Linked DNA regions of Stegostoma tigrinum. The protein of the gene in region 1 purifies or fractionates together with the protein of each later gene. This does not show direct contact. Links are inferred from orthologs where the notes say so. Each region holds a gene or a part of one and is shown on either strand. Other genes may lie near its edges. The genes, in order: potassium voltage-gated channel subfamily A member 5-like and kcnab2a.

Region 1 (11,427 bases):
CTGTCAATAACATTTTCAACAAATACTCACAAATAATTAAACACAAAAGAGCTCAGCACTTCATTAATGAAAAGTACAATCTTTAAACATGTATGTGCATAAGAAATAAATAGAAACAACATCAAACAAAATACGATGACAATCAGGACTGTTTTCTTCTTGGCCACTAAGCACATGCAACATTAAAATGTAAAAGGAAGATTTCCTTTGGTTAGTATTCCTAGCAAAATTAAAATCATGTTATTTGAGAATGTATTCATGTTTTCACGAGAAATGGTGATCAGAAGAAATCTTCCTGCTGTGGGTATGATGTCGCAATCACCCAGCAACACAGAAAATCTTAAGTCTGTAATGTTGAAACAGTCAGCCATCTGAATTCATTTGATCTCTGAACATGCCGACATATGTACACTGTCAAATGGTAAAATGCTGTAAACAGCAGTTATAAACTATTGTTCTAAACAGATTTCCTGCAAACCAAATTAAATTTATGTTAAGAACCCATGGAGTGTATAAGATGGCAATATCAAGGAAAGACCCATAAATCATGAACCAAAACACCCTTTTCCATTTATCTTTTAAGAATAAAAAGAGTGGCACTGATGCTGGTGATTCTCAATTCAGCTGTTTTGAAATTGGAAATCTATTTTTGTTAAATAAGGCAGGACATTATATCTAATGGTGTGGTCTCCCCCAGGTGGTTGCACAATCCATATCAGATATGTGGTTGTAAAACAGTCTCAGATTTCTTTTGAAAATTATCTATGAAACAAGATAGTGCTAATTAATGTTCAAGTAATTTTGTAAACTTTCTGTATATGTAAGGCAGAAGAAAACTTCAAATGTAAATATCAGAATCAGAGATCGTAAGTATTTACAAAGTTCTTGCTAACATTATGTAATTAACATCTGAAATTAACATAAAAGGCTCAAGTCTCAAGGTATGGATTGCTCATCAGCAGAGGGCTACCTGCCAATCAAAGTAATGTCATTCAGCAAAGCAGATAATACACTAATAAGCTCACAGTGAAATCATTATGGTAGCTCTTTGTTGATACTTTTCACAAAGCCAGTAATTATCTGTGCATTTAATAGCAAAACAGCTGCATTAGAATGAAAGATCTTGTATTTTTTAAATGAATGTAGATAGTACTTTGATAATTTCACAATGTCCTGTAACTCAATTTTTTTATGTTTAAAAGGGTTACAAATGAAAGAAATGGTACCCTTTTTAAAATCTTCATTTTTTGTTTACTTTTTAAGCAAAGCAAAGTTTTAAAAAGAAATGGTAAAACACTAACCTTCGATCATGTGCCTGCAGCAGTGAGCCACTCACAAGAGACAGGTGTTTTGTCCATTTGAAGACATGGGTGTTCTGAATATCGGTTCAGAATCTGGTAAAAATCCTTCCACATCACAAGATTTGTTTCAAATTGTTATAGCTTTGCGATAGTTATAAGGCAGTCCCTAACATATAATGTTGTCCAAAGTTCACTTCCTCTAAACATTTTCAAAAGATAAAAGACGAGTCATAGCAAATATCAAATCCAGAATGATTTGTCATCATCTAAAATGTGTTTCCAGTTCAAAAAAATGTGTTGGTTATCTTTTGTTGTTTCATCACTCTGTGGTATCAACTTTTATTACTTCACAGTTCATGTGTTAAACTTCAGGTACTTAATCCCAATCTTCGTCTGTTCTTAGAGAACCCAGTTTTGCAGATTTACTGTTCAGAATAAATATGCAGATTTTAAAATAGTTATTTTACAACATTAGTATAAATCAATGCATTCACTTAGGTCATTACAAATATGATCAAGTGGATCCTCTAGCGAATTCCTTTGGATTTTTGTTTACATGAGATCATTTGCAACACATTAAGTGGATGTACAATAAGCTTTGACAGCTCTACCAGCAAAGAGAGAGTCTAGTGCTTCTCCAAACATGGAAAATCAGTACAAAAAGCTGAAGTTGCTGATTTAAGTCCCCATAAATATTAAATAAACAAGGAATGCTCCAATTATCTAAATATACTGTTCAGTAATTCTCGTATGATCTGTTCGAATTTTGTCGCATGAACACTTTGAAAAAATATATTGCGAACAGAGAAGTCCCACATTGCCTAAATACAAATACGACTTTTGTCTTCCTTAAGACTCCAAGCAAACTGAATTTCCTCTCTCTCTGACGGTAGCTACATTGTAAATAAAACAAACACTGTTGCGAACTCTCATCACGACAGGCTTTGATGCGTTTGAATACATTTCCGCCTCCCACTCCTACCGCTTAATTTTATGTATATAAATATATAAATATATATGACACAAAACATGAGCAAAGTATTGCAGGAAACAAAGGGTTGGATAGTCCATGACCTTTCTTCCTCACAGGAAAACTGAGCTACTTCACACCTGCCTCAATTACAAATTCAAAAATAAACTTATGGAATTTTAAGACTTTACATTTGTTTCCAATTAATGAAAGCAAAACAAATACAAGACGGAGGCTGGAGCTGTGCACAAGTTCCAGCTGTCCTATTGTGCACCTGCAGAAAACCGGTGTCTCATCAACAACCCCAAACCCCTCCAACAGCCCACGCCCCAAAAAAATTAAGAACCAGCGCCAAAGTGTTTAGCTAAACCCCTTGGAATGTATCTGACGGTCTGATAAAGAATGATGTATAAAATTGATATTTTCTTCTCGCCTAACTAATCTAACCTGTGTGGTTTGTACAAATGCTGAGTGGTTTTTTTTTTCAGTTTGTCAACCCCAAACAAGTCTGGAGAGTTGTCATGTGGAAAGTGGCCGGGGCTACAGGTCGGTCTCTGTATTTGGATCCAGACATAGTGCGTACAGCGATTTCCTGATGTCGGGGGCACTGTTGGCCTTCAGGTGAGCCCCCGCGCCATTGTTCACCCCCTCACTGTTCTCCAAGGGTTTGCCCAGGGAGCTCCTGCTCCTCTTCAGTTCCTCTGAGTGACTGGGCTCGCTGTCCGTGTCGTCCTTCAGGTACTGAGCCTGCTCCTCGTTGTCCGTCTCCCGGTGATAGAAGTAGTTGAAGTTGGAGACGATGACGGGCACGGGCAGGGCGATGGTCAGGACGCCGGCGATGGCGCACAACGACCCCACGATCTTGCCGCCCATGGTGACCGGCTTCATGTCCCCATAGCCCACCGTGGTCATGGTGACCACCGCCCACCAGAAGGCATCGGGGATGCTGGAGAAGTGGGAGCGCGGCTCGTCCGCCTCGGCGAAGTAGACGGCGCTGGAGAAGAGGATGACCCCGATGAAGAGGAAGAAGATGAGCAGGCCCAGCTCCCTCATGCTGGCCTTGAGGGTTTGGCCCAGGATCTGGAGACCCTTGGAGTGGCGGGAGAGCTTGAAGATGCGGAAGACCCGCACCAGGCGGATGACCCTGAGGATGGCCAGGGACATGGCCTGCTGACCATTGGTCTGCTGCTCGGCCAGCTCAGTGCCCAGGGTGATGAAGTACGGGATGATGGCCACAATGTCGATGATGTTCATGATGTCCCGGGCGAAGACCGACTTGCTGGGGCAGGCCAGGAAGCGGACCAGCAGCTCCAGGGTGAACCAGACCACGCAGGTGGTCTCGATGATGAAGAAGGGGTCACTGAGGCTACTGTTGTCCCCAGTCCCGGGGCTCTGGGCGCTGGTGTTGAGCGGAGAGTTGCTGGCACTGTCGCGGTCATCGCGGAACTCGGGTAAGGTTTCCAGGCAGAAGATGATGATGGAGATGACAATGACCAGCACCGAGACAATGGCGATACCCCGGGCAGGGCTGGAACTCTCCGGGTACTCGAAAAGGAGCCACATCTGCTTCTGGAACTCATTGCGAGGCAAAGGCTTCTCCTCTTCCTTGATGAAGCCCTCATCCTCACGGAACCTCTCCATGGCCTCGGGTCCCAGCTTGTAGAAGCGGATCTCGTCGGCGAACATGTCGATGGAGACATTGACGGGTCTGCGGATCCTGCCGCCCGACTGGTAGAAGTACAGGATGCCGTCGAAGCACGGCCGGTTGCGGTCGAAGAAATACTCGTTCTTCAGCGGGTCGAAGTACCTGATTCTTTTCTCGGGGTCTCCAAGTAGGCTGTCCGGGAACTGGCTCAAGGTGCTCAGCTGGGTCTCGTACCGGAGCCCGGCGATGTTGATCACCACCCGCTCCGAGCGGTTGACTTCCAGCAGTTGCTGCTGTTGCAGGTTGTCCACCGGCGGCGCCTGGTCCACGGCTTTCAGCGGCCCCGCCGCGTTCATCTCGCCCGGAGCCGGGGGGTCCAGGTAGCCCTTGGCCGCCGGGCCAGCAGCGCTCACACCCAGGGGCGCTAAGATTCCGCCTCCTCCTCCTCCTCCTCCTCCACCAGCACCACCTCCACCTCTCTGGCAGCTCCCCAGAGCGGCGCCACCGTCCTGCAACCTCACCAGAGCTATGTCCATCCCCGAGCCATTAAATATTCAACACATTCCACATCTAGCGAGAACTGATCAGTCAGCGGAGCGCTGGGAGACACACACACACACACACACACACACAAAGAGACAGAGACAGAGATCAACAGTCCCCACCCCAGAGCAAGGCACAGAGATACATCAAGGCATTGGATACAGCAGCGGAACCCGGATGAGCAACAAATAAATCATGATTGCAGCTCTCTCTCCCTCTGACGTCGAATGCCTGAAAATGAGCAGCAGAATTTATCACCCACCGCTCTGACCCCCCCACCCCGACCCTGGGCGCTGCTGCCTCAGACTTAACCCCTCCACTAAGCCCAGTCCACACTCCTGTACCTCCCCGCCCCGGTCCCTTCCCGTTCCCAGATACAAGCCCGATCGCCAACCACAATCATTTAAACATCAACCCTTCTCTCACTTTTAAACGATTTCACTATACAAACAGGTAGAATGTTAAACGACTGTTTTTTAAAGAGAAAGGAACCAACATTTGAATGTTATTTTATTTACCCTATGTGGTGATTCAAGTGCTTTGTACAGTTGGGTCAGGGAGGTTTTGTGGCGTGGTGAGTGCTGTCTTTTGAGTCAGGAGCTTGGGTTCAAGTCCCACTCCAGGACATGGTCAGTTTCAAAAATACAGGTCTCTTTACGGGTCTACCAGAACCGTTCCGGAATTAAGAGCTGGGTTCTGGTCCGCTGGGTGGTTGACCTCGGGTCACGGAGTTTGTCCAGAATGGAAAGGTGAAAACTGGTGTTTGTGGATTTATCATAAATTTCTGAACACATTTTGCCATCTAGTTCAACATATGAATGTAGGTCTGTTGAATAACTTGATGGGCAGTGAAGGTGTCACGGCTAACCAGGCTGTTTATCACTTTCTGGTAGCCTATGGCAGTGGTGAGAGAGCCTCTTGGGTCAGCCATGTTTCATGTCCGGTTCCTCCATCTATAGCCTCCAGTGAGAGGTTAACCACAGAATCATGTGTAAGCACATTTACTTTTTCTGCCTCATCTCACCTAAGCATATGAGGAGGCAGGTGGGACTAGCTTAGTTTGGGATTATGTTCAGCGTGGACTGGTCGGACTGAAACGTTTGTGCTGTACAGCTGCATGACTCAATGACATAGTGATGATTTAATTCGGTCAGCGATTGAGAGAGCAGATGGACTTAACTGTATGGTGCTGTTTCTTTCTGGAACATATGGGTGTGATCCAGTGGTAAATAAATTGATAGCCGTCAAACTAAAACTAATGCAAAGTAATCATGATCCCAACTGATTGATGCCCTCCCCATGAGTGTGACAGCTTGCACAGTGCACAATCTGTAAGGCATCACATTTATGCTGAGGCATGGTTTTGCTTCAGGTTTTGAAAGCAAATTCCTGCTTAGATCTCTTCCTAAGCAAAGATTCTTCAAATAGAGGCTGAACACGAATCACCTCATGAGTTTTAGGAATGCAAACTATGAAATTTTAAGAATATTTGACCAGAAAGGGTGCATAATTTAATAGTTCATAAAATAACACACTAACATAACTGAAACTAGTTTCCAGGAGATTGAAAACTAATATATGCCACCACCACTTAAAATGCTGAACGGCATGAGGACTATTCATGCTAATAAATTGTATGTACTAAAAATTGAACAATCGATTCATAAAATCATGCTCTCAGAAAAGACCCTCAGCACTACAAAGTCAAGTATATTTTTGTGTTTTTTTTAAGGCTCACTTCTTATTCCTATCTGCATGTAAGCATATTACTTTATTGATTCTTTTCACATCAAGTAACCAATAATATCACTCATTTGTTCACTCAAGAAAGAAGTTCAAATTGCCCCTTTTAAAACATTAATTTGGTCTGCGAGAAAGGATTCCACACAGAGGAATCCTGTCTAAAATAACTTTGTTGCAACCAACTGAGAAGATAGATAAATAAAGACAGGGAGCGAGTTCATCCTATCTCTCTTGGCAGCTTAATGATTTTGGGTATCCATCCAGAACCGTAATAACTTTGGAGAACCTCACCTCCAGATTGGTTGTAGAAGTTATGCAAAATCCAAACTCTGGCATTGATTTGGTATCCAACAGGAGTTTGGGAGGAGATGGTGGCTGTAGTGCGAGAATATTTGCAGCCTACACCAATCTGTTGCTCCACATCCCAGTAAATATATGAATCGCATTGAGGGCATGTCTTTTTCTAAATGCCTTTTCCAAAAGGTTTGGAATAGCTACTGACATTGAACTTGAGCAGACTATGGTACTTCCTATGTAGATTTGTGTACACAAACTGTAACGAGAAGGTGGGTGAATTTGGAACGGGAGCCAGTTCATCCTTCTTCATGTGGGGAGTTTAGCAGATTGGAGTATCCCAACTGGAAATGAAATGAATTAGGGAATTTTGCCCAATGTCTGCTTGTCAGAGAGGTAGCTATAATAGACCACCTGCCAGTACTGATTGAAGTAATTCTGCACACTGAATGGGGTATAAGTAGTTAATGCGAGTTCTTGCAAGTGAGTAATTTTTGAAGATTAAGGATTAAGCACAAGGTAGGGTTTGGCAGATCTTGAATTTACAGCAAATGTGTCACGTGTTTCTCATGTTATTCAAGTAATGCAAAACACTAATAATGTAGAATAGGCCTCAGCATAACATGCCATATGTCCTTTTGGATGCTTCTGACTGTCAGACTGCTTCTGACTGTCCAGTCAACTGTTAATGCCACATGTCTGTTCAACTGAATGTTAAAACGTCATGAGACACTTTTCTAAGAGCAGCAAATTTCTAGTATCCTCTCTGAACTAATTCCTCAATGAATCGATCATTTGATTCATTGCTGTTGCTTGAACATTGCTTTCATAAGATAACTGGTGCTGTCATTTTTATAACAACAGCATGTTTGAAAATTAATAAAGACTGATAACTTGTGTTTCTTTAAAAAAATCGCATTTAATTGAAAATAAAGACAAATGAACGAATAAAATGTTCAAAAATCCTCACGCAGTTGTAATGTACTAGTGAACTCTCATTCCAATTCATCATTTCTTAATAATTTAGTACTGTACTATTCAAATTTCTGTAAATTGTTATTAGATTTAGTGAATTTAAATCACTAGTGTCTGAGCAAAAATGTATGCACAACCCTTACAAATCACATCTACAAGTTAATTCATTTGCTGTCCCATTTCACATTAGTAATAGATGTGAAATCCTGATAGAACCTGCAAATGAAAAGCTGGTTTCTAATTGGCTCATGGTCTCGGCTTTCCATCATTCTGTTCTGCTTTTTCTATCTTCTGGTTCCCACTTTTAAGGATTTCCTACTTTTCAGTTGTACTTCCGATTAAAATAGCTGCAATGAAGGGGTTCCTTTGTCTCACATATATAGCCTTCTAATTGCTCCCAGTGAGAACCTAGATGTCTTGAAGGTTTGTGTTGCTGTAATGCACAGCAATACAAAAACAACGAAATTTGATTTATCCTTTCCTTGAGCACTGCTTTTGTTGACCATCAGAATCAGAGACTACCATTAATTAAATGGCACTTTCACTTTAACCTTATCTGTCTCCATTGATCTATCAGGATACATCTGGACATTGTATCACATCCATGACAGTGTCAACCTAAAGGAGGCAGCTTTTGTTTGTAAATTCTTCCATCTCACAGGACTGCTTGCATTCAATATGCAGCTGTGGCTAATAAGTAATGGGGTCAAAAAGATAAACTCTCAGGCCACATGTGGCACAATTTTCTTTTTAGAACAGTTATCACTGAATCCAAAGAAGAAATTAATGTGCTAAAATGGTAAAAGTTTTGACACATTCATGGTCAAATTTGTATTGCCATTTCTCTACTCTAAGTAATATGATCCATGAAATGAAAGCTCCAATATTTATATCATGATTATCTGGTAATTGGCCATGTGTGACAGTTTCTTTAGATATGTAAATATATGTGTATGTATATGTGTAGCACACATCAACAAAGGTTTTCACAATTCTTTGGATGGTTAATGCTGCTTCCCCAGTATTTAGGAAGTAAATGTCTCCCTAAACTTTTGAAAAAGCACCTTTTGCATGTGAACAAGTTGATTTTTTGAGCCAGTCGTGACAGTCATTCCCCTAGCAACATCCCTGGACTTTGCAATGGCAATATGTAAAGCACCCAATTGTGGGCAGCTATATCCTTTTGGAGTTGTAGTGATGGAGATTGAAATCCCCCAGGGTATATTCTGAGTCTATGGCACCCTCAATGCTTACACCAAGTGGCATTCATTATGGTGGAGTAGAGGAGGCAGGCTTTGGTAGTACATTGGAATCAACAGGACATTTCCTTATTCGTGTGGTCTGAGGTTGATATTGAAGTCTCCCAGGGTACCTCCCTTCTGACTATGTGCCACTGTTATGCCACCTCTGCTCGATATGTGTTATCGTTGGGATAGGCATGAAGGTCTTGGCTGGAACATCATCTGTCAAGTATGATTCCATGGGTATAACCATGTCAGGCAGTTAAGGTTGTAGGCATGCTCGCTCAGCCAGTGTGTTTGATTGCAGACGTTTTGACACCCTGCTAGGTAACACAATCAGTGCGCCTCTGGTGAAACATCGGTGTTCTGTCCTGCTTGTTATTTATATGCCTTGTTTTCTGGGGTGGTTGGAATTACTTCTGGTTTTGTTTGTCAGTGGTATGTATATTGGGTCCAGTTCAATGTTTGATATACAAACCACTGAAAACAGACCTGGAAGTGGAAGAGGTGTCAACCATTCCAGCAAATCCAGGCATATAAATAACAAGTGGGACAGAACACCGATGCTTCACTAGAGGCACAGGGATGATGTTACCTAGCAGGATGATGAAACGTTTGCAACCAAACCCATCGGTCTACAATCTCATCCACAACCGAGCTACAAATCTTCTCAAAAACTTCAAATACCTACAGGCTGTTGCTTGATTGGTGTGTTGAACACATCTCCCAAACCTGAGAGTAGCCCTCAGATGTTGGTCAAGAGGACTATGCAAAGGCAACAAGGCTGTGTTTGCCATTATCATTTCCAATGCATTAGTCAATTCTAGGTAGTCTGTCTGGTTTCATTCATTCGAGACATTTTAGTGATACAACTGAACTGTTTCCTGCACAAAATAAAAACCAAAAGACCTGCGGATGCTGTAAATTAGGAACAAAAACAAAGTTGCTGGAAAAGCTCAGCTGGTCTGGAAGCATCTGTGGAGGAGAAAACAGAGTTAACGTTTCGGGTCTGGTGACCCTTCCTCAGAACCTTGAATGGCTTCCTAGGCCAATTCAAAGGGCAGTTAAGAATCAAACAGTCGTATGGAAGGCAGACCAGGTTAGAATGGCAGTTTTCCTTTCCTAAATGGCATTAGTGAACCAGATAGTTGTTTCTACAACAATCAACTTGATGCTCATTATGAAAGTTAATTTCAGATTTGATTTTTTTAAAACTCAAATTCTACCATATGTATGGTGAGATTTGAACTCAAAACTGCAGAGAGTTACATTCATCACTGGATTTCTAATCCAGCAAAAATACCACTACACCAGTGCCTTCTTTATTCCAAGGAGAACAAGCTTTAGAAACAGGCTTAAACCTGTACTTTGTGGGTATCTGTGGCCCATTGCCTTACAGATGAAGCTTGAAAAGCATGATGGAAACTGTGCTAACTGCACAAAGACATTGAGTGAGCTTGCTGTAAAGGGGCGAAGTGAAACAAGACTGCTTACTGAAGCAAATGTCTGATGTTAACTATGGAGAAAAACATCTCCTGTGTACATGTCTCTTGGGTAAACAAGCTCCGAACTATGAGGGTCTTCAGCAATGGTAATGGCATTGAATGGTCTGGAAGATTGGGAGCAAACATATAAAAGAAAACACATCAAAGACATCAAGAGTGATGACTCAAGACCAACCACCATGAGGAGAAGACCCTGAGTTCAGAACTCAGAGAAGTATAGACTTGTCAGAATGAACCTGAGCATTTCACCACATACAGGCAGTATCTAGATCCTAGTCAAACTATTCAATAATATGTTGAGTGTGTGCTTACTAAGAACTAAAGAGTTACTAGTACTGACAAAGTTGCAGTAGGTTCTAATTTGGCTGTCTCTCCTTTACTTGTCATGTAATTTGAGACCCTACTGGAAAAGCAGTCATTATGTGTCCCAAGTGGAAGAATTCATAACAGAGCATTAATTTGAGTCCAAATTATTTATTTGTAGTTTTCTTTTGGGTAACAGCTCTCTTTCAATCCTTATATTTCCTAACTAGAAAGCAATTTTTTTTATCTATTGTACAGTATTGTCTGTCAAAATCTACAAGAATGGAATGACTGTAACTATGAAACTCTTCAGGTAACTTCATACAAAACTGAAATAGTTGGCCAAATTAATGTGCTTCTGTATGGCAGTATACTTTGTGTGGCAGCTTTGTGCATAAGTATCTAGAATAATAGGGAAGTGTATTGTGCATTGCAACAGTTGGTGAGTTTTTAATCCAGGCAGTGGAAAATCATTTTATTTCTAATTTTTTTGATCAGTTACTGTAAGCAGATATAATAATAATATGCATTTTCAAATCCAGTTTTCTTGAAGGAACATTCCAAAGAATCAATTTGATGGAGTTTGCAGTTGGAAACAGTATAAAAGGAATTGGCAGAATGGAGTCAAGACTTTACTGTCTTTACCCCACTTGGTGACACCTCTCTAGATTTAATGCTGTGAGGTGTAGTGGCTGACAGGGAGATTCTACTCACTAATGACAGGACGTTGCCTGAGAGCACACAGTGGAACACGCTTGAACATTTGGTGCTATGACTGCTTTAATGGCCAAAGTAGGGAAGACAAGGTGAGTACCTTGGCACCTTCATCTATGTCCTGATGAGTGTATCATGCTAATTCCCTGGGTGCCTACCCCAGCACATCACTCCTCACTCAACCTTACCTTGC
Region 2 (10,909 bases), on another chromosome or scaffold:
AATGAAAGAACATTCCCCTTACCTATACTTCATGCCTGTCTGATAGGCAGTACAATTTTCCAGCGACAGACAGTGCATTAGGAGAAACTCTTCCATCTTCTTCGATTGGACCAAGGCTCTGACTTCTCGGAGCTTCTGCATCTCTATTGTATCAGTGTGCCGCACCTGATTCAAACCCTGATCTGAATGGTATCTAGTTATTCGTTCCTTCAAGTTTTCAGTGTAAGACATGGACAGCATTTTCTCAACTATCTTGGAAATCTGCAAATTTTCAGGTTGAACATTTTTACACAAGAAGACCTGAATTACATTTGCTGGGGCCCTAATATCTCAGTAATGTTAGATCTGGGAGTGGTGAACATGTTGAGGTGGTAAAGGACATTAGCTAACCATCCAAATACTTTAAGCTCAACTGTCTAAAAATAGGACCACTTGCATGTTCACGAGCTACACTATTCTGGATGCCAACAAACAAGCAATTTAGCATTCTGTAACTGGATCTCATTGTCACCAAAGATCCTCTCAAAATAGCAAAGAAAAAAGTAGTTAGTTTCATAATATGTACAACATGATTTTCATGTATTTTAAGAAGCACACTTAGATCCTTCTAATGTTATCAGATTGAAAGATTTCCACTTATAAAAATTAAATAAAAGCAGCCACTGGGAAATACATCATTGCTTAAACTTTTCTACAGGATTTGAAGCAGTTACATGGCAACTGAATGACTGCATTTGGCTTTTAATGACATCATCCAATAATTCACAGTTGTACAACTGGAATATCAACAGCATTTGGTGTTTCCTGGGACCAAAACACGTTTGATAGCATGTTAGCAAACAAGTTAATAGCAAAACCTGCTACTCCTAATGAGAATCCTAATGAACGAGCTTTGGTAGCAAACTGAAAATTCTATTATAGAAGGTGAAGCACTAAAAACAAAATATAAATAATAACCACCTGAAAAGATTATGGTAATTGGAGAGATTGTCAGGCACTTTCCCTAATTTTTCCATCTCTAGTCAGGTACCTTTTCCCTGAAGGAGATGGTAGACAGATAGTCAGATCTTCAATCTATGGTGAAGAGAGCAGTCAAAGAGAGGTGCATAAAAGATTGAACAGTTTATTTTCCAATTTTTAATCCATTGTGAAACCTTCAGTCAGCTTCCATTAGGTAACTGATTCTGACAATATGATGGAGCATGAGGAAGAGCAACGCAAGGAATTTGTTTCTTGGAGATAGAAAAATTGCAATATTGTTATTGTTTGACGTTTATGCACACAATTTTCATTTATTTGAAGATGTGTGATCATCCCCAGAAATTTAAAATGTGGCACCAAAATTTTTATAGACTTTTCTCTCCACCTTGACAGAAGGCTCTGATTAATGTACGAGTACCACTCAGTAGGCATCCTCAGAACTCCCATAATTCACTCACATTATCTGAACAATAAACTTAAAGTGTGTTAATTTGCAAAGTTAGGAGAAGAATCAAGTTTGAATTTTATATTACTCTCAACTGAATACAGGCATTTCTAGCAGAAATTATTAGATATTAATCAGGAACAGGAACCATGGCTAAGTTCACGCTTCCTAACTTGGGACCTCACTGAGGTATACTGTTGCTGCCCACATCGGCACCCTATCAAATCACGTGGCATAGGCCATCAGTGCACACAGTGAAGAGAAAACAATGTATTTTTCACTGTCATTCAAGACAAAAAGAATATTAACTCACTGACTGTGACTAGATTGTTCACAGACCAGATGGAAGAAGTAGTGAGGCTTTTCTTGTGACAATAAAGCTAAATCTTCTAGTAATTATCCAGAACATATTCTGATTGTTAAAATGAAACCTTCCTGCTAATATGACTAATTTAAATCATTTAGACATGACAGCAGCTGTAGAATTTCAAATAATAAATTCTTCAAACTTGTTTTTACATTCAGTTTAGTGGCATGATTGTACTGCTGGCTTCCAAGACAAAAATCATGTAAACTGATGCTGGCCTCATGATGTTAATTTGTTGGATTTCCTATAGTTGAGATTACTGTCTTTAGTGAAATCAGGTGGCATGCATACACCACTGAACGCGATGTGAAAGATCATGCCCATAAATTGTGAAAGGGGAAGCCTTCACTTAACCTTGCACCACTGCTAACAAAAAAGATCATTTGTCAATTAATTAAATATTTTAGCATTTATAATGAAACATTTTTATAATCAAAACATAGAAATATTATGCCTCGTTACAAAAAAGGTACTTCTAAGATACCAGTTTTTAAATTGGTTCAAATATTTACAATTTTTATTTAGGCAAGTCCCACGGAGAACAACATAACAAAACTCCTTTCCAGCCTCTGAGGCAGGTTCTTCACTCTCCCATCATTTTCTTTAAAGATACCAACTTTTGCTGGGTAACAATCTCATGGTGCTTTTCATTTCTTTGCTCAACCACCCAGCATGGTTAAGCTTTTCCAGTAGAATTAGGCAAGCAGTTCAAATTGAGCGGCATCACGGTAAAACTCAATCCTTTTCTCAAAAGTGGGAATCACTAGAAAGTAAGTCACTGGACAACGGAAACAGGTACAACAAATAATTTTCTCCTGAGGTCAATTATATGGTCTTTATAATTACACAAGCTGAAAAACAACCAGCATAAATGGGATCAAACACAGAATTTTCTTGAACTGTGGTTTAGCAATCCATCACCATAACCAGTTAAGTTTCACACTTTTTAAAATGTATGTATTGTTTATATGCACAGTATTAATAAATATACAAGAAAGCCTCACTTCTCTTGTACTGGCTTTCAAAGACAATGCTATACGAGGTTAGTGTATTTAACAATTTGTAATCATGGTCATAAATTAATATTTGCATTTTGCCTGAAAGTAAGAAATGCCAAAACCACAACCAAAATTAACTGTTAGGTTATTCATAACATTTTTTGTAGTATTGAACAACATATTTTTGAAGAATATTTGAAAAAGAGATGCCATATTTCTAATACTGATCTTTGAAGGTGGCATTTTGGTGTGCCCTGGACATGGTCTGAATTAAATATTTTCTTTTTTAAAAACTGTAACGCATATACTTATTTATTACACATTCAGATGGTGCATTCAGATTTGTTCGAGTTTCCATTAAATATTTTAACATTCAATGTTAGTTTGAACTGAAGTAGCAACAAAACATATGGGTCTTAGATAAGACATTACCAGGCTGTAATCAGAAACTGGGCTGCAGAAGGTGGCAAGGCTCATGCGCCAAATTGTCACTTAATGACATACTGGAAAGCATATGAAGGAAACATGCAAATTAAACAAAGCTGGAAAAAAGGGATAGAACCTAAATGACAAATACAAATAAAATTAAAGTACAGAAAAATAAATGTTTTGTTATAGCATGAAGTACACACATTAAAACAAGGAGATGATTAAATACAAGCGTAATTTATAAGTTCAGATGTAAATTCAACATCAATTCAAATCAAAATGCCCTGCCTTTTCAGGCAAGATGGAAGAAGAGATGACTTTTATTATATTATATTATAAAAGGCGAGGAAGTTTCTGGATGCATGCAATAGTGGAATAGCAGGTCTGAGCAAGTATGATGATTACAGGGCAAAAGGAGCAATACCAGAATCTGGAGAAGTAAGGATAGACAGGGAAAACACTGTGGACCGGAGAGAAAAGAAAACAATGTAATAGCTCTATAATCTACTTTTAAGCTTGAGAAACATATCGAAGAATCATAGCTTCAAAGTTAAAAATCTCTTAAGACACAAAAACTTAATCTGTGTTAAAGAATAACAGACAGTTGCACTGAAAACTGGAACAAATATAAATGTGATCTACAAAAGTCCTTGAACTCTATTTGTAACAATGCCTCAGTTTCCTTCTGTGCTTAGCATAAAATTTAGTTATAAGCTAATAATGATTCACTGGTGGGCAATCAAATCTCTGTCGTGTAAATTTAACAGGGCTAAGTACCCTTTTTTCTCCCCCATATAATAAACTGTAGTTGGATGCAAAGCAGCAGGCAGCTATCTAAAATAGGCAAATCCCATTAAATTGGGATATACCTTAATACAATAATTGCGTAACTACAGTAAAAACTGGCATCTCCATTCCAAATGTCGACATTTGCTTTTGTAAGATTAAAAATATTGACAAAGTCCATTCAATTTATCAATTTAATTCTACATTTTTGTCCTATTTTCAGGGATTACTGATATCAGGAAATCAGTACATAAAACAGTACCATGAAGCTTTATTCTTGATTTGAAATTGGTATTGAAAATGAATGGTCATTATTTGCAGCCATCTTTGGTACAGCCCCACACACAAATATAAATTACTGAGTATTTCTTGCATGTTGTCGTTTTCCAATCCAAAATAAAAATCTATTGGTGTGTAATTTTTTGCTGTTGCAAGATAAGAAATAAACAGTAAAGCAAAGCAAAATGTTTCATAGCAGGCATACAGCAAAACAATTTTTACCAAACCTCTGGGAATGACTCTTCGCTTTGGTTAAGTTGAACTTTTGCTGCTGCTTACTATAATGCTTCTCCTTGAAAAAGGCACAACTAGAAAGGAAAGACCCCAAAGTTGTGCCAAAGGGGGAGGAGGTTCATATTGCAGCTAGAATTAAAATTCCATTGTGCAGCTTTCCCTATTAATATTACTAGAGATAATTTTAAAGAGTATTAAAATTAAGTTGTTAAAATAAAAATCCATTTCATTAAAATATGCAATACTAAATCATGCCTATCAAAAAAGCAATATTTTCCAGCAGCTGCTTTTATTTCAAAAATTTTAAACTTCGATAGACAATCTCATACCCCAAATTTACATTTCATGTTTATACACAAAGACTATATAAATCCCTTCCCTTCATATCTGTTGGTTTTAAGTTTACCATTTTTTAAAAATGCTCCAAGGCATCAGATAAAAGCTAAATTTAAAAATTAATAAAACTAAAAGTTTATATGCATACCCATTCAGGAAGATACACTCCAGCATCACTACTGTTTGTACATATTATTCTTCTAAACTAAAAGCAAAACTCACCCAACTGCCAGAGTAGCTGCTTGTTTAAAAACCAGGAATGGCTTTTAAGATCTATAAGACTCTACGACAGCACTTTGATATTTGGAGGGGGCGTTCTATTGTCAAAAGCAATTAGTAAGTACCAAATCCATTCCCCCTGCTATAGACTAAGTGGTTTTCTGATGCAGCCCATTTGCTCTTATCAGTGTACTTGCATCTTGGCAAATAGTGGTTAAATTATTTAGGGCATTCTCTTCCACTAAAAGCTTACTGTAGCAGATGAAGTATTGTTTACTGCTTAAAAGGGATAAAGCCACCACTACCTTAAATGAACCTAGGAACCTGTGCAGGCTTTTCATCAATTTTTGCAGAGTGCATATATTTTCGTAACTGAACAATAATGATTGGTTTAAAAGTGTGTTAAACCCCAAGATAAATGGAGCAATTGGTTCAATCTCCGAGAAACATAATTTCAGCAGAGGTTATTTTAGAATATTCTGATGTACAGATGCCTTACTGCTTCTTTACTAATTATAAGTTTATTGTACAATTATGCTGTATATGATAGCTGCTCGAACTAAAAAAATTAAAGCATGAACTCCTTTTAAACATGTACCACACCACAGCTGTTTATATTTCCTGGATTGAGATAGTTGCATTACTGCAGCACTATTGACACCCCAATGTCTGAAAATTTTCTTCTAAATAATTATTGGAATAAATAAAATTAAGTTCTGAAATTTCAATAAAAAGATATTTTTAAATGAAGCTTAAAAATTGAACTTTGTACTAATCCTAATTGTAATGCAACAAATAGAAAGATCACTAACCTACTAGAAATGAATGGACCAATATGCATCCAAATTGGTGACTGTGTAATACTTTTGATACCAGCGCTACCAAAAGCAAGGGAACTGATACTTACATAGCACCTTTAATGGAATAAAATGCCCCAAATTGCTTCAAAGGAATTGGCTCTTACCTCTTGGTGATTCACCCTATACTTGTCTTCACCTAGTTCTCACCTGAGGATCAAAATAATTGTTCACAATGCAACCACAGTTATAACTAGTAAAGCATTCAATGGCTCAGCCAAACCAGGCAAGGGTAGTGATCAGGTTTACTAACCTTAGCAACTTAAGGGTTTGTCTACTCTGGTCTTAAAGCTAGGACAAAGTCAAATTGAAGTAATACACCAGACTCTTCAAGAAAGCACTATTCAAGCCCAAGATTTCACTCCATGATCAGAACCTTTCAGCAATGAATAAATTCATGTAATTTAACAATTTCACGTTACCCAAGCTGCCTATAATGACAAAAAGACACATGTAAGAATTATTTAAGCAAGTATAGATTTCAACAAAAAGTCTGCCTACCAAACTGCAAGTTGACAGAATAATGGTCCTGGCTCACTCAGCTCCAACCATGACAGATTTGATCTGTGTACCAGCATCACACCAAGAAAGTCAACTATTTTCATTTAAACAGCCTTTGGAAGCTTCTGAAGATAAGATGGTAGGACAAAAAAAAAACAAGCATCCATGTAATCATCCAAGTTGTGGATGCTTGGCATGTACACCATGATGAGACAGTTACAACTTAGATGGACTGGTTATCTAGTGACATTTGAGTCAAAAATATGCAGCAGGTGGATATACATGTCCCCATTTGAACAACTGTTTATTTATTCTATTTGCATTTCTCAAGTCTATTCCTTTCTTCCTTCCTTCATTATTGACATCCGTGTGTTCCCAAATGAAATCTCTCTACTTGAAGTCCACTGGGGTAGAACTGTTCCACTGGGACAGGCTTCACTTAAGCCATGCTGGGACCAGTATCCTGGTGATTGAATAACTAGGTCTAGAGTGAGGGCTCTGAAACAATTAGAAGGGGGTAAGGAAAGCATATGAGAAAGGGGAAACAGCTTTGGGTTACAAATCAAAAAGGATATGGCAACTTTACAGGGTGGTTATTGTTATGGACCAGACCAACCCCTTAAAAACATATCACTGAGATAGCCCAGATCCCAACATTAATCTTACTTAAAGGGAAGTAAAAGATGCTGCACTGCAGATGTGCTTCAAATGATCAAACTACTAGACTTTAAGCAAAAGACACTTTATTCTTACACCACAGTTAAAATACAGACAAAGAAAGAATTGGCATAACTTAAACTCTACCAAAATATTTGACATAATAATATATTATTTAACTTCTACTCATCAACTGTTCCACTATACCAGCAAAACATTTACACACTCCTAGCAAAAGCAAAATCACTCACATGCTTTCTCTAGTGCAGGAGATAAAATGAATGAATCTAGCAGCAGAGACAGAACTCAATATTTTGCAGCAGTAGAAAAAGAACGATACTGAGCAGCTTCAACTCCAAATACCCCAACTTCAACAACTGAAAGCAAACAAAAATCCTGGGTCTGTGTGAGCCTAATTCTACCCACTCATGTTTCTTTTGTCTAGCCAAAAAAAGCCCAAAACTATTTACTATGCATTCCATAGAGCACAAACCTCGTCACCAGATTTACATCCCCACCTCCAAGAAAAATAGGACAGATTAATTTCCTCTTAAAGGTACACAGCATAATATCCAAAGTGGGGCAGGAAGAGTAAGTGTGTACAACAATACAAAAACAGCAGTAAATAGGCTAAAAAGGTAGGAGTGTGGGAGGGGGTTGGTGGAAGAATAGTTTAAAAAAAACTAAGCAAAAAAGCTCTTTACTTTGAATCTACATAGAAGTTGGAACAAAAAAACAATGTAAATTAACGAACAGCATAGAGGTTAATAGATATAATTTTATAGTCATTAGGAACATACTGTTACAAGGAGATCAAAGCTGCAACTAACTATTCAGGAGTGCCCGACTTGTTGAAAGAGCAGGCAGGAAGGACAGCAGTAACAAGGCGTGGAGCTGGAAGAACACAGCAGGCCAGGCAGCATCAAACACCCGAAACGTCAGCTTTCCTGCTCTTCTGATGCTGCCTGGCCTGCTGTGTTCCTCCAGCTCCACACGTTGTTATCTCAGACTCCAGCATCGGCAGTTTCTACTATCCGTAAGGATGGACAGGATGATGGGGTAACTTTGTTATTTTGGGTGGAATAAATACAATAAGAAAAGAAAAATTCTGGACTGGAATATATAAAATCCATGAGTAGAGATAAGAAATAACAAGGACAGGACAACACTGGTAGGAATGAGTCTTAGACTCCAGGTCTCCTAACAGGAGTTACATGGTAGGACAGAAAATAAATCAGAAAATAACAAAGGCATGTATAAGGAAAAAGGCACGTTGTCAATCATCGGAGATTTTAATCTTCATGTAGATTAGGAAAGTCAGATTGGTAGAAGTAGCCTAAAGGAAGAATTCATAGGATACATACAAGACAGTTTCCTAGAACGTGTGGATCCAGCTCGGGCTCAGGCCATTTTGGATCTGGTATAAGGAGGCAAGATTCATAAATGATGTCATAATAAAAGATCCCTTAGAAAATAACAACCATAACATGATAGAATTTAGTATTCAGTTTGAGAGTGAGTGACTTGGGTTGGAAACAATTGTGCTAAAATGAAATAAAGCTAATTTCAAAGGAATGAGGGCAGAGCTAGCTGGAGTGGACTTTGAAAGGAGTTTAGCAGCAAAGGTAGGTCAGAAATGATAGTAGACTTTAAGAAAATGGACCCTGGCTTACAACAAAGATGTATCGTAGTGAAAAAAGGAAGATTCTAGTTTGGGAATAAACCAACTGTGATTAACAGGACAAGTGAAGAATGACATCAAAATGAAAAAAAAAGTACAATGGGGAAAAAGACTAGTGGTAAGCCAGGGGTTTGGGAGATTTTAAAAACCAACAAAGACAAACCAAAAATGAAGAGAGAGAAAACAAACTTAAAGATAAACTTGCAAGTTATATCAAGACTCACAGAAACAGCTTCTTTAAATACATAAAAAGAAAGAGAACCCAAGGTGAAAATAGGCCCCTCAGAAAATAAAGCAGGGGAAATAATAGTGGAGAAACCAGGGGGTCCAAAAAGGGAGAAGAAATAAATTGAATAACTATCCATAAAGATAAGTAGGGGAAAACTAATGGGGCTAAAGAAGTGTCTCCTTGATGTGGTGCATTCTAGGATATTGAACAAAATAGCTTCAGAGATAGAGGTTGTACTAGTAGTGATTTTCCCAAGAACCTTTACATCCTGGAAAAGTGCCAAAGGATTTTAAATCTGTTATTGCAACAAAGGGATGAAAACAAAAAAAGGCCAATTGATTTAATATTTGTTATTGGGAAAACATTACCGTATATTTTGAAGGATGCAATAGCATACCACAAAAATACATAATGTAACCAAGCAGCATTAGCACAGCTCAATGAAGAGAAAATCATGCCTGGCAAATTTATTAGAATTCTTTGAGGATAAAGGAGAACCCACGGATGTAATAAATTAGGAATTCCAGCACATGTTTGGTAAGGTGCTACAAGTTAACTTACTCAATAAACTTAAGAGCCCATGGTGTTAGAGGCAGAATATTAGCATGATAGAGGATCGGATAACTAATATAGGACAGAATGTTGGGATATGAGGAACATTTTCAGGATGGCAACCTGTAACCAAAGGAGTGCCACAAGGATCAGTGCTAGCCACAACTATTTACAATATATAGTAATATTTGGGTGAAGAAAATTAATGTGCTATAGCCAAGTTTGTAGATAACAAAATTAGGTGAGAAGGCAAGTGGTAAGGATGACAACAATTCTGCAGAGGGACATAAACAGGCTAGGTGAGTGGGCAAAATCTTGGCAGATAGAAAATAATGTAGGGAAAATGTGAGGAATAGCAGGAGGAATAGAAAGGCTTAATAGAACTTAAATAGAAAAAGACTGCAGAAAGTGTAGCGCAAAGGATATTGGGAGTCCTGATAGATAAATCACAAAAGGCTAGCATACAAGTTCAGCGGGTATTAGGGAAAACAGGCCGAATGTCCATCTTTATTTCAAAAGGGAATGCAACATAAAAAAAAGAGAAGTCTTACTAAAACTTTACAAGGCATTAGTTTGACCACACCTGGAACACAAAGAACAGTTCTGGTCCATTTATCTAAAGAAAGATATATTGGGTAGTCTTGGTAATGTTCACTGGGTTGATCCTGGAGATGGAGGGATTGTCTTATGAGGAAAGATTGAGCAGGTTGAACTTGTATTCATTGGAGTTTCAAAAAGTGAAAAGGTAGCCTTATTGAAATATACAAAATTCTTAGGGGCTTGACAGGATAGATGCATAAAGCTTATTTCTCCTTAAACAGGAGAGTCCAGGACCTGAGATAATAATCTTAAAACATGGGGTTACCCATATAAAACAGGAATGAAGAAGAATTTCTTCTTTGAGAGTGCTGAATCTGTGGAATTCTTTACCAAAGAGGGCTGTAGACACTGGGTTGCCAAGTGTATTTAAGGCTGAGACAGGCAGATTTCTAAATCAGTAATAAAATCCAGGGTCATGGGGGAAAATGCTAGAAAGCAGAGTTGAGGATTATCAGATCAACCATGTCAACAGTGATACTGCAACTTCTATCTGCCACAGTTTATACTTCAAAAGAAAAAGGGATCAACAGCACTCAGCAATTCATATACCACCAACTCATTTGCTCTTCATCACAACTAGGACAACCTACACATCACGTACGCTCACAAAGGCTTGAATGGGAAAAGGACACTAAATGCTTGTTTGAACATGCAACATCCATCCTTTGAGAGGTGTGGCAGGTGCCGCTCTGCACAGATAGTCAGGAGGAGTGACAAACAGGCAACCAGGATTTGTCCTCTCACTTTACTCCTTAAGG

What was found.
Region 2: the proteins of potassium voltage-gated channel subfamily A member 5-like (region 1) and kcnab2a purify together in Homo sapiens (co-immunoprecipitation; 3 studies listed by BioGRID and IntAct, counting the BioPlex papers as one, with this or other methods). This does not show direct contact. The link is inferred for Stegostoma tigrinum from reciprocal best matches to the Homo sapiens genes KCNA5 and KCNAB2.

The regions. Positions count from the first base shown.
Region 1 is NC_081378.1:40,102,370-40,113,796, reverse strand, and holds the start of potassium voltage-gated channel subfamily A member 5-like, read right to left. Parts: upstream 4,330-11,427; 5' UTR 4,273-4,329; coding exon 2,812-4,272; 3' UTR 1,302-2,811; intron 1-1,301. UniProt on the Homo sapiens protein: Voltage-gated potassium channel that mediates transmembrane potassium transport in excitable membranes. Forms tetrameric potassium-selective channels through which potassium ions pass in accordance with their electrochemical gradient.
Region 2 is NC_081381.1:25,933,870-25,944,778, forward strand, and holds the start of kcnab2a (voltage-gated potassium channel subunit beta-2), read right to left. Parts: upstream 5,174-10,909; 5' UTR 5,078-5,173; intron 262-5,077; 5' UTR 241-261; coding exon 23-240; intron 1-22.